Drosophila melanogaster: one gene and its partner. Changing the gene in region 1 together with any one later gene gives a genetic interaction. Each region holds a gene or a part of one and is shown on either strand. Other genes may lie near its edges.

The links. Genes that interact genetically often act in the same process or in processes that back each other up.
Region 2: of Gr43a (region 1) and Gr61a, changing one enhances a phenotype caused by changing the other (phenotypic enhancement), as found in Drosophila melanogaster (one study listed by BioGRID).

The regions. Positions count from the first base shown.
Region 1 is NT_033778.4:7,389,518-7,395,593, reverse strand, and holds Gr43a (gustatory receptor 43a), read left to right. Parts: upstream 1-2,432; 5' UTR 2,433-2,444; coding exon 2,445-2,598; intron 2,599-2,661; coding exon 2,662-2,716; intron 2,717-3,077; coding exon 3,078-3,222; intron 3,223-3,289; coding exon 3,290-3,452; intron 3,453-3,554; coding exon 3,555-3,698; intron 3,699-3,753; coding exon 3,754-4,039; intron 4,040-4,095; coding exon 4,096-4,447; intron 4,448-4,509; coding exon 4,510-4,572; 3' UTR 4,573-4,725; downstream 4,726-6,076. Other genes in the region: Glo1 (glyoxalase 1), read left to right, coding at 1-4, 77-163, 1,633-1,746, 1,805-1,925; Dhx15 (DEAH-box helicase 15), read right to left, coding at 4,787-4,914, 4,973-5,326, 5,394-5,516. UniProt on the Drosophila melanogaster protein: Gustatory receptor which mediates acceptance or avoidance behavior, depending on its substrates. Gr43a is the main sugar receptor in larvae. Functions as a narrowly tuned fructose receptor in taste neurons but also as a fructose receptor in the brain.
Region 2 is NT_037436.4:838,607-844,788, forward strand, and holds Gr61a (gustatory receptor 61a), read left to right. Parts: upstream 1-2,844; 5' UTR 2,845-3,111; coding exon 3,112-3,256; intron 3,257-3,316; coding exon 3,317-3,508; intron 3,509-3,557; coding exon 3,558-3,752; intron 3,753-3,804; coding exon 3,805-3,971; intron 3,972-4,027; coding exon 4,028-4,150; intron 4,151-4,207; coding exon 4,208-4,362; intron 4,363-4,413; coding exon 4,414-4,666; intron 4,667-4,724; coding exon 4,725-4,805; 3' UTR 4,806-5,095; downstream 5,096-6,182. Other genes in the region: CG13887 (uncharacterized protein), read left to right, coding at 1-18, 644-826; JMJD5 (jumonji domain containing 5), read right to left, coding at 1,452-2,384, 2,436-2,708; Cep290 (centrosomal protein 290kDa), read left to right, coding at 5,760-6,077, 6,135-6,182. UniProt on the Drosophila melanogaster protein: One of the few identified sugar gustatory receptors identified so far with glucose being its primary ligand and which mediates acceptance behavior.

The DNA of each region.
Region 1 (6,076 bases):
TGGGGTAAGGTCGATTGCTCCGGCTTATCTTAATTTGATATTGATACAATGACAATCGCTTTTGTATCTGGCCCAGGTACGAGAACGCCACCGATGTGCCTAAGGATCCCAAGCAGCGACGCAGCTGGGCGCTGAGCCGCAAGGCCACCATTGAGTTGACCCAGTAAGTGGTTTTCCGTTTGTGCATGCGATTCGCAAGGTTCCATTTGAGTAGGCCCTTCTAATGTCATGACTCTAGGAAAAGGTTATTTGAATAGTCCATAGTGGCGGTACAATACCAATCTTAATATGGATGTAGATATCATCTACAAGGAACACTTCCAACAGAAACTCCTCCGCAATCAGATGGAATTTCATTCAAAGGCATTTTAGAATTGTCATGCGTGTAAAAAAGATAGTTCCATATGGATATTCTATTTTTACATTTCGTAACTCGTTTTTGTAGATATGATAGCTTCAACTACAGCATGCGGCAGCATAATTTCCTTTTTTTTTCAGAACTCAATGAAAATCTATTGTAGGCATCGGAAAATATTTATTTGTTTTTATAATTTAGGTACATGTCTAAAGATTTTATTTATATTTTTTTGAAGATGAAATATGACAGGTGACGTTTCCCATTCTCCATACATTGCGTAAACCGATTTCTGGCGTTTGGGGAAAAGGGGACAGATCGGGAGAGCGTGCCGTCCATTCCAAATCACCTTTAATTGGGATGAGGCGCTCTGAAAGTGTTCCCTCAAAACAGCCATCGATGCTGTATGCGATGGTGTATGCCGTTGCACCTTCTTGTTGAAACCAAGTGTTTACTGTGACCTTTGGTGAAAGCAAAGGCCTTTCATGCAAATATAGAGGGTTGCTGTCAGCCCAGTAGCGCATATTTTTTTTGTTTGTAAACCGACCGACATAAATGAAAATGGGCTTCTGAAAGTTCCTGCACTACGCCATCTTATATGGATGAAATTGAAGATCATCATGCAAAATTCTGCTCACAGAACGATCGGATAGTCAGTCCAAGGGCAGATGCGTGTTTGCGCGCAGAACGCCGCGGAGATCACAATATTGACCCTGTCACTGCTTCAATGTTCTCAGGTGATCTAACTGGGTCGGGGGACTCCAGTTCTTCGTTTTGTCGCACTTGCAGTTTGCCTGAATGTAGTGACCCATGTAAAAATCGATTTGCGGTCTGGGACGGGAGCCAACGGGGCTAAATTAAAGCGATTCCGAAATGCACGCTGCGTTTAAAGACCCGAACATCCGCTTGAAAAGTAGGCCTCATCGGCAAAGGCACGCTCCTCACTATTTCAACGCATGTTGGCGACTGAACCGTGTAGGGACAAAACTTTGCAGTAGCCCCTCTTGAACGTGGCCAGTAGCGTTTCGCTATGATATGAACTAACTGAATGGCGCGCATTTTAAAAAAGGAAATTATACTGCCGCACGCTGTATTTTTACATTTCTTAAATCGTTTCCTTAGACATTATAGATCCACCTATAACTCGAGAACTATGTACTTGTATATATATTAATTTGGCCTTTAGTTTTTAATCAAAACTTACACCTAAACTAGAGGTCCTCGATTATATAAAGGAAATACGTATAATTCTACTAATCTTCTGCTCTTTTCCGTAGCAACTGGGGCACTGAGAGGGATCCGGATCAGAATTACCACACCGGCAACACCGATCCACGTGGTTTCGGACACATTGGAATCATGGTGCCCGACGTGTACGCCGCCTGCCAGCGGTAAGTAATGTCAATGGGAAAGTCCTGTTCTTTTTCAAAGACGCAATCTTTCCCGCAGCTTCCAGGAGCTTGGCGTGGACTTCGTGAAGAAGCCCGACGACGGCCGCATGAAGGGACTGGCCTTCATCAAGGACCCCGACGGCTACTGGATCGAGATCTTCAATGCACACTCCGTCTAGTCTGGCTGGCAGATAGAATTAACTTGATTAATTGCGCATCTGCCACTGTTCCTTAATAGCGATCCCCACTAGGCTGGACCGCCGAGTGGAGTCGCAACAATAAATGAGAAATTGTGTAACAATTGGGCTGTGGACCTCATTCACTCGGGTGCACCTGTCGCAGCTGCCGCAGCTGTCAACGTCGGCCCCAAAATAATTGGCTCCTGCTCCTGTGTCCTTTTTCCGGCTTGGTATTTTCACACGCTAATTATTATTTACATCGCGGACAGCCGAGCTTTTTGATAAGCAAATGTGTTACTCACTCGCACATGGGGTGTTTGCCCAGACGGTCTGCGAGGGCCATGTGGTCATGGTGTGGGGCGTGGATGGTGGTGGCCACTAATAATAGTCAAATATGGGAGCGCAGTATTTGTTTGGTGTCGAATATGGCGTTTTGCAATTTAAGGTCCTGTATTTGGCGACTCGAGAACAGTTCTCGTCCAGAGGTCGTACTGCGAGTGTCCCGCGTTCTGAATTACTATGGAGATATCCCAGCCCAGCATCGGCATCTTCTACATCAGCAAAGTGCTGGCCCTGGCTCCATATGCTACGGTCCGGAACTCCAAGGGCCGGGTGGAAATTGGTCGCAGCTGGCTCTTCACTGTATACTCGGCCACATTAACGGTGGTTATGGGTGAGTTGAGCATCCAAAGGCGGGTGACTTCCTTCTGACTAAACGCTATCCGCATCTGCGTAGTTTTTCTCACTTATCGGGGTCTCCTGTTCGATGCTAACTCCGAAATTCCCGTGCGGTAGGTACTTTTGTATCTACATCTATGTTTCCTACTTGTAAGGTCCCAGTTCTGTGCCGTTTTTTTTTTACTAATCTCTACGGGCTTGTCCCATTCAAGGATTTTAAAGTAGTGACACTCGGAGTGGAGTCCTGCACTTTTAGAACCCATATCTTATCAAATATGTATAAGTAATACTTTCCTCTCAAGAAGGATATGATTTTGTTGCGGAGGGTGTCATTACTTTGATCCTAATTGTGTGTATACTTTTCTCGATTTTTCTCTATCTAATCATCACCTCTGCTCCCTTCTAAACACATTCGATCTTGACCAATTAATTGCTCTGACAAACTGCAAACAAAACCAACCAACAAATCAAAAGTGCATCTTTTAGAATGAAGTCGGCTACGTCGAAGGTGGTGACGGCCCTGGACGTGTCTGTGGTGGTCATGGCCATTGTATCCGGTGTTTACTGTGGCCTTTTCAGCCTGAACGACACTCTCGAGCTCAACGATCGACTAAACAAGGTGAGATCACGTCAATCATAGATCCACCCTCCTTTTATTTGTTATAATCACCCAATAAACACCCCAGATCGATAATACCCTAAATGCCTACAATAACTTTCGAAGAGATCGATGGCGAGCCTTGGGCATGGCTGCCGTCTCTCTGCTGGCCATTTCGATTCTGGTCGGCCTGGATGTAGGGACGTGGATGCGCATTGCCCAGGATATGAACATAGCTCAGTCGGATACGGGTAGCTAGCGCTTTAATGTATTCATTTATAAGCCGCCAAATAAATCTTAAAATGAAAGAAATCTATCTTTGAATCCCCACCTTTTCATTTTCTCTTCGACAGAGCTCAATGTGCACTGGTACATTCCATTCTATAGTCTTTACTTCATCCTCACGGGCTTGCAGGTTAACATTGCCAACACGGCCTATGGACTAGGAAGGCGCTTTGGCCGTCTGAACCGAATGCTTTCGAGCAGCTTTCTTGCAGGTAAGTGGTAATTTAAATTTCCAGGATTTTTGATTAGTTGTAAACCACCCAACAGAGAACAATGCAACCAGTGCCATCAAGCCACAAAAGGTCAGCACCGTGAAGAACGTTAGCGTAAATCGGCCAGCGATGCCATCGGCACTCCACGCGAGCCTGACGAAGCTGAACGGCGAAACCTTGCCCAGTGAAGCCGCAGGTGACAAGGCAGCCGCACGCAGTCTAATCCTCAACGTGGAGTTACTCAAATTGGGTTATTTTCCAGCCAAGAACAAGGGGTTGCTCCTCAAATCCCTGGCGGACAGTCACGAGTCGCTGGGAAAATGTGTCCACCTCCTGTCCAAGTAAAGTTATTCCACATCCCATGTTTTCGTGCTTCTTACCTTCCCGCACTTGACAGCTCCTTCGGCATTGCGGTTCTCTTCATCCTGGTGTCCTGTCTGCTGCACCTCGTGGCTACGGCCTACTTCCTCTTTCTGGAACTGCTCAGCAAGCGGGATAACGGCTACCTGTGGGTGCAGATGCTCTGGATTTGCTTTCACTTCCTGCGACTGCTCATGGTGGTGGAGCCGTGCCACTTGGCTGCCCGAGAGTCCCGTAAAACGATCCAGATTGTTTGCGAAATCGAGCGGAAAGTGCACGAGCCCATTCTCGCGGAGGCAGTTAAGAAGTTTTGGCAGCAGTTACTCGTCGTAGATGCTGACTTCTCCGCCTGCGGATTGTGCCGCGTGAACCGCACCATTCTGACATCGGTAAGGATTTAGACTACACTTAAATAATATCCATGTATTATTCTAATGCTATCTGGTTGCAGTTTGCATCCGCCATAGCCACCTATCTCGTGATTCTCATTCAGTTTCAACGGACCAATGGCTAAAGTTATACAAAAAGTGGCTTGTTTTTTATTAACACTATTAACTAAACGGAGTTCTTGGATATTATTGATCTGTTAAAGTGTCTATGTGCTTGAATCAAGTTAGCAAACAATAAAAAGCAAACGGGTTATTTTTCTTAGAACTTGCTAAAATTCACACACTCTTATCCATGATCCATTCTCCATCATATTACAACTAGCCATACTCTGGGGGGACTTAGAAACCCTTCTGGTACTGCTTGGTCTCCAACCGCTGTTGCAACAACTCCAGCTGTCGTTTCGCCTCGCACTGGGGGAAGTTGTTCAAGTCATAATATTGGGGCGCCAGGCAGCACAACCATTCAGCTATAAATGTAAGAAATGCTTACAAAAATGACCCTGAAATGCGGAAGTTGCTACTCACGTTTGACATCTGTCACCGTGCGAATGTAGTTCTTTGTAGTCAGCACGAACTCATTGTAGATGACCCAATCGGGCTTGTGGTCGAGACAAGTCGACGGATGCAGCTGCACGTTCTGGTTGTCCTTGATGGTCAGATAGTAGCCAGTGCGCTCCAGGTGGGCCACCTGCATGAAGAAGCCCTGCACGAGGGCCTTTCGGATGTTTACATAGTAGTCCTTCGAGGTGAATTCAGTGCTCGTGCGCCGCAAGTTGAAGCGGTCCATGATTCTAGCCAGCTGCTGGCGCACGTTATCCGCACTCTTTAGCGAGCGGAAGTTTATGAAGTTCTCGTAGCACCAGTTTGGATCCTCACTGCCTGAAAGAAATAAAGAAATATGTCTTTATGTTTCCATTTCGAGTATAGGTTGGTTTAGTTTACTTACTCTGCTTAAAGGCGTGATAGACATTAAGCAACGTCAGGTGGTCTCCGTCAATGTGGGCGAATCGCATCTTGGCCTCATCGGCAGCTTTCTTCGCCTCGTTGGGGCGAACGAAGCATTGTGGAACTTTGGCACGTTTGAATTGGTTTAGTTTCGATTAAGCGCAAGTTCAAAACAATTTTTAACATAAACAAATAGATTGTGCTTTCATTTTGTCAGCTAGGCAATCTAGAGGCTTGATTCAAAGATTGATTGCATTTGTGAGTTGCAAGTGCGTTCGCGGAACATTAAAAGATAAAAACACTATTTATTCGGGCATATTTTGCACATCAATCCATTCAAATAATGGGCTTGGACTTTTAAACGCATGTGCAACTTTTCTTTTCGAGTTGAATGCAAAGAACAAATAAATTGAAAAACTTTTTCCTTTGCATTGTTGCTTAAGAAATTACATAAATCCCTTCAAGAATATAGAATATACTTCCCCGAAACCTCAGACTTTCAATTTATAACGTAGAAAGTATTCACGGCAGCCACTTTAACGGAAATAAATGAAAGTATGCATCGGCACAAATCGAAATTAGGTACAAGTCGTATTTACGTATTTGAAAAACGAAAAGTGACAGCCATGAAAGTATAAGTGCGACCCCCAACTTATCGAAGACAGTTTCTTAGATTTGTGTTTT
Region 2 (6,182 bases), on another chromosome or scaffold:
GATACCACTCTCATCGAGGTGAGTCCACGTCCCAAACCCCTGCATCCGATCCCCAGGAATGGCATGTCTAGAGAGCTAACACCTAAGACTTTGGAGTTCAATTGGCTACTACCAGCTGTAAAGATATGGCAATGCATATAGAAGGTGTGGTCAAAATATGGCGAGATAATGTCTTTAGCCGACTAAATCTATAAAATCTATACTTCATTCCACTTTCTGGTACATTTTCTCAATTGGTTTTGAATATAAGATACGAAAAGGCTTTAAATGTAGTCTATTAACGATATAGAACTTTAAATACCAGTATATATCATGATTAAAATCTTAAACGTAAACTTAAATCAGTTTGAAGACCGAGTGAATTTGTCATAGGCTTAGTGCTTTTGTTTTGACCGCAGCTAAACGTTTTGAAACCACACCCAAACACATATGTTGGGCCACGATAAACAGAAGCCACCACTCGAAAGTTTAAACCTCTTGTTAACTCTTTAAACAGCTGTCAAGACTGCGGAGACGTGTGCAAGGACTCACCGCCCGAGTGTCCTAAGTATCCCCACCTAGAGCACCCACCTTATATCCATTCCCAAACACCCAAAACGAACAAAAATCCAATCGAAACTCAAACGAAATCCGAATTTTGCAGCTCAACAAGCTGCGCGAGCGCGTCCAGGAGCTAACCTCCGACTTGAATCGCGAAAAGAAGGACAAGGAGGCGGTTAAGTCGCAGGCGGAGAGCATCAACCGCGAGTACGACCGACTCACCGAGGAGTACAGCAAGCTGCAGAAGAAGATAACCATCGGCGGAGGCGGAAACAAGGATGATTAAACTCACTGGAGCCAAGTCCAACATTTAAATAACGATAAGACTTATAAGCATGGCGGTGGGGCAGCGAAAGCAGGCACATTTAAAAGATTATAACGATTTCAAATCGATAGAAAGCACACACATCTTATTGTTAATCCTCATAGATACAACTACATATACCATTTGATAATGATAATGGGGTATATTGATAATGGTCCCTCAACTCAATGTTCGTTTCGTCCGAAGTTTTGTATTTAATTCGTATGTGTTAAGTTTTGTTTGCCACAGTAACACACCCAAAAAGCGTCGTGGCTATTAAAAGAACAACCAAAAAGTACCCATCCAGTTGTGATCGATTCGATGATTCATCTGTTGGCGCGGATAGTCCACATCATGTCTGATAGTACACGGCAATGACGTCAGACGTCGCAACCTGTTTGCATACTTGGAGCTTAGAAATCGGAGGCGTTACATTATCGGTGTGCGAAAAGGGCATCGAATATGTTTCCTTGATAATTACCCAGAAATGCTAATCAAATTCGCATATTTAGTGATCTATCGTGGTTTTGCAGTGCATACTTTAATCTTAACTTGAACAGAGATCATCCTACATAAATTTGCTGTTCAATAAACTGCATTAAAATGCTTACTCCCACCAGAAGCTTACAGAGAAGCTAGGAGCTTCAGATCTCACATAGTGCCACCATTTGGGTGGCATGTACAAACAGTCACCAGGTTGCAGGAGCAGCTGGTAGAACTTCACCTTGGCTACCAAGGGATATGTTTCAGGATCCAGTTGAGCAGCATCTATTCGCGCTGTATTGGCCAAAAACTCACTGTCGTGGGGATACAGATTGTCTGTGTCTGCAGGAGCAGCTAGGATGATCCTCTTCGAACCGAATACCTGGCACAGCAAGTTGTGCTTGGGATCGTAGTGCATGGGAGATACGGTTCCAGCTGGTCCCAGCCAGGCTTTGATGTCCACAGCTCCTGGGGTATCTTCGTTGCTGATGGTGCAGTAGTCGGGAATGGATATATCCTCTTTGAGGGCTGGTATCTGGGCGAAGAGCTCGTGCTGAGCGAGATACTCGATATTTTGGCCAGCCTTGCTTGGTTCCTTTCCGAATTGTCTGCTCAGGAAGTCGCGGATCTTCACCAGCTGCTGGGACCATTCATCGCTGGCATAGTTGGAACCTATTTCAATGGGCACCGTGCGATTCCCGGCCACTTGGAGAAGGTAATTGAGATCCAGCCATTTGTGCAGTGCAGGCCAATGCTGGATGGTGTTGAGCAGGAGTGTGGGTTGTCCTGCCTCAAAGCACTTTGTCTGGAACTCTTCTAGACTGGGAGCGTCCAGTTGGGGTATATCACAGTTGGAGGTTACTCGGGTTAATGGCTCTAGAGTTGGAAGTGGTGCGGAATTCAGTGCTACTGCTCCATCCTTGTCGAGATAATCCATTAGGGCGACTTTCAGTTCACTCCAATCCTCCATGCAACCCAAAAGTTGAGCCTCATCGAGGATCTCACTGCACGCATCCTTCTGGGCGGGACTAGTGCTCTCCAAGAGAAGGAAAAAAATCTAAAATGTATATTTGTAGTTTGTATGGCTTAGTTAGCATCTAAATCCCACCTTGAAGCAACAGGCTATGGCGTATATCTTCCTCGTGACCAAGGGAACCTGGCTGAAGTGCCCTGTGTGAATGCGTTCCCAGTTCCTGTCCACCAGCGCACCTACCAGATATCCGGTTTCCTCCGCCCCGGAATCTCCGCCAGACCTCAAGTTCGCCAGGTGATCCGCGGCTCTTTTGAGTATGTAGCGCGCCTCGACTTCACCACGGACCACATTTTCCAGATCCACCCAGCGGGGCAGCAGCTGCGTCAGCTCCAGGAACTCACTATCCATAGAATGTTAAACAACTATTATTTGTTTACCTTTTAGCTTACATTCAGCGTTGCCAGAGTTCATTTGTAAGCATTAAATATTTCGATTAATCGATGTTTTAAAATATATTTAAAAATTGATGAGTTGTTCAGTACTTCAAACATGTATTGCTTAAGGATGCCTTTAGTAAATTATAAATAGTAGCTCCGTGGGTCCTTCCATGGTGAAGATACATTTTGCACTGGCACGAAATGGAAAAACGATTTCCATGGGCGGAGTTATGACCGCCGTTTTGGACGCCGAATGGCATTGTGTGCCCCAAGTGCCACTAATTACGGGTTTTAGACTAAGCTGCAGCTTGTAAACAACAATCATGAGACAAGAACCCGGATAGTGGAATTGCTGACGGTCAGAGCTGAGGAGCATGTCGAGGACTTCGGATGACATCCGGAAGCACCTGAAAGTGCGGCGCCAGAAGCAGAGGGCCATTTTGGCCATGAGATGGCGCTGTGCCCAGGGAGGATTGGAGTTCGAGCAGCTGGACACCTTCTACGGAGCCATCAGGCCATGTAAGACCACTTTTCCAAACCACTTTCATATGTGTCTAAACATATTACAATGGACAATAGATCTGTGTGTGGCGCAGTTCTTCGGCATTATGCCTTTGTCGAATATCCGGAGTCGCGATCCCCAGGATGTGAAGTTCAAGGTAAGGAGCATTGGCCTGGCAGTCACCGGTCTCTTCCTTTTGCTCGGTGGCATGAAGACCTTGGTCGGTGCCAATATTCTCTTCACAGAGGGTCTGAATGCCAAGAATATCGGTGAGTTTTAGATGGTATGGTAGTGTGATCCCAACTGAAAGCTCAATAGTGGGTTTGGTTTTCCTTATCGTGGGCATGGTCAACTGGCTAAACTTCGTGGGCTTTGCTCGCTCCTGGTCGCACATAATGCTGCCCTGGAGTTCGGTGGACATTCTGATGCTCTTTCCGCCCTACAAACGTGGCAAGCGAAGCCTTCGGTCAAAGGTCAACGTCCTTGCTCTGAGTGTGGTCGTCCTGGCAGTAGGTGAGATTTCTGGGTTATCCTTTCAATGGTTTCCAGAAGAACTTTCTTTCAGGCGACCACATGCTGTACTACGCCTCTGGCTACTGCAGCTATAGCATGCACATCCTGCAGTGCCACACAAACCACTCGCGTATTACCTTTGGACTTTATTTGGAGAAGGAGTTCTCCGACATCATGTTCATCATGCCATTCAATATATTTTCCATGTGCTATGGATTTGTAAGTTAACTATATATATTTTAGTTAGTTAGTTTGAATAATGCTCTCTTTTTTAGTGGCTAAATGGAGCCTTCACCTTTCTGTGGAACTTCATGGACATCTTTATTGTGATGACCAGTATTGGACTGGCGCAAAGGTTTCAACAGTTTGCCGCTCGAGTTGGCGCACTGGAGGGTCGTGTAAAATAATCCAAACTATTTCAATGTATTTCTCTTTTAAATCCCCATCCCATTTAGCATGTTCCCGAAGCCTTGTGGTACGACATTCGGAGGGATCACATTCGCCTTTGCGAGCTGGCCAGTTTGGTGGAGGCCAGCATGTCGAATATAGTGTTCGTATCCTGCGCTAACAATGTGTATGTGATCTGCAACCAGGCGTTGGCTATTTTCACGTGAGTCATCTGTTTGTAGCTACCCCCTAGTCTCATTTCAAATCTTTTTAGCAAACTGCGGCATCCCATAAACTACGTTTACTTCTGGTACTCGCTGATCTTCCTGCTGGCCAGGACGAGTCTGGTTTTCATGACTGCCTCCAAGATCCACGATGCCTCGCTTCTGCCCCTGAGGTCCTTGTACTTGGTGCCCAGCGATGGCTGGACGCAGGAGGTGCAGAGATTTGCCGACCAGCTGACCAGCGAGTTTGTCGGATTGTCTGGATATCGTCTCTTCTGCTTGACAAGAAAGAGTCTCTTCGGAGTGGGTAAACTTCACGAGTCTTCACGATTCCCATACTGATCCCAGCCATCCTCTCCAGATGCTAGCCACCCTGGTGACCTACGAACTTATGCTGCTGCAAATAGATGCTAAGAGCCACAAGGGACTGCGGTGCGCGTAACTAAATGAGTGAACTTTAGTCCAGTTTAACTTAACTGAATGTATAATAAAATAGTCAGATAATCAGATTTGAAAAAGGGTAGATTCCTGCGAGGAAAAGTCAGTTAGCAGCTCATGTGTGAGTTCAGCCAACCCGACTCGGGCGGTTATTAAATGGCCAAAAGGCTTCCAGGATAATTGGCCATTCCGAGTGTCATTTCAATTTCAATTTTTGGCCAGCTGTCATTCAGCGAGGGCGAATCCACAAATGGGAGGGCAACCAAAGTCGCTTGCCATTAGTTTCAATTATTGCTACACATGTAGGCAAACGTAATTTTGAAGGCAACTCGATGAGTTTTGAAAGGAGAAAGGAGTTGGAGTGCACTGAAAAATATGTTCGGAAGCTAAAGTTCTAAATAATAATAATCTTATCTTTACTGCTTACTTCTAAACCCTTTCAAAAGCCACTTGGTGTGCTCTGAACTAAATACCATTTTTTTTTCGAGTGTAAGAAAAGTTAACAGAAACACGAGAAGGCGGCGGAAAAGTCGCTTCGAACAGAAATGGCTTTTCAATTTCAAAACTCGGCCTTTGACACTTTGCCAATTAACACTTTCCTGGTTACCGATTGCCATTTTTGTTTGTGGTGGGCCACCGGCTGCTCCCACCGCCGATCCTTGCCGCTATAGCCGCCGTTGAGGCAATTATCCTGTCAGGAAACTTTCTACGCAGCCGAAGCAGCTAGCAAAACAGAACGCCAGCAAAAACAAAGGTCCTGCAGGTTGGTCACTTGAAAGGAGCGCGCCGGCACCCTCGTTTCCGGAAAAGCAACCCCCGAATGGGTTTTCAGTCGTAGTTTGTTTTGGGCCAAGTGTCATGGCAACCGGAAAAACTGGAGAGCTGGTGTGGAAAATCGGGGAATATTTGGACGCAGAACGTGAGTAACCGCCGAGGAGCGAGGCCATGAGCCACCAGGATGAGCATGGACATACCAGAGACCGTATCCCTGCGCAAGTTCCGCGACTTTTCGGCGCGCCAGAAGCAGGAGCTCTACGAAACGCTCCTCGAACTGGCCGAGTCCATCGATGAGCTGCCTAAGAAGTCGCTGAGGAAAACCCTGGAACTCACCCTGGCCGTTTTGGAGTACAAGGGCGAGCAGGTACAGCAGCTGCAGGAATCAGCAGCCGGAGGACTCTCCTCCGACCGCCGCCTGCAGGATGAGAATGAGAAGCTGAAGCGAATGCTCCAGAAGTTGGAGGACGAACGCGATGGCCTGAAGAGCAAAGCCAAGGAGGTGAGCAGTAGATCATGTAAAGTACCCAAGCTCAAGGATACGCTTTTTTCTCACTAGTTGGGGGAGGAAATCCGTCAGTTGGAGCTGCGCCTGCAGGAGGCGGCG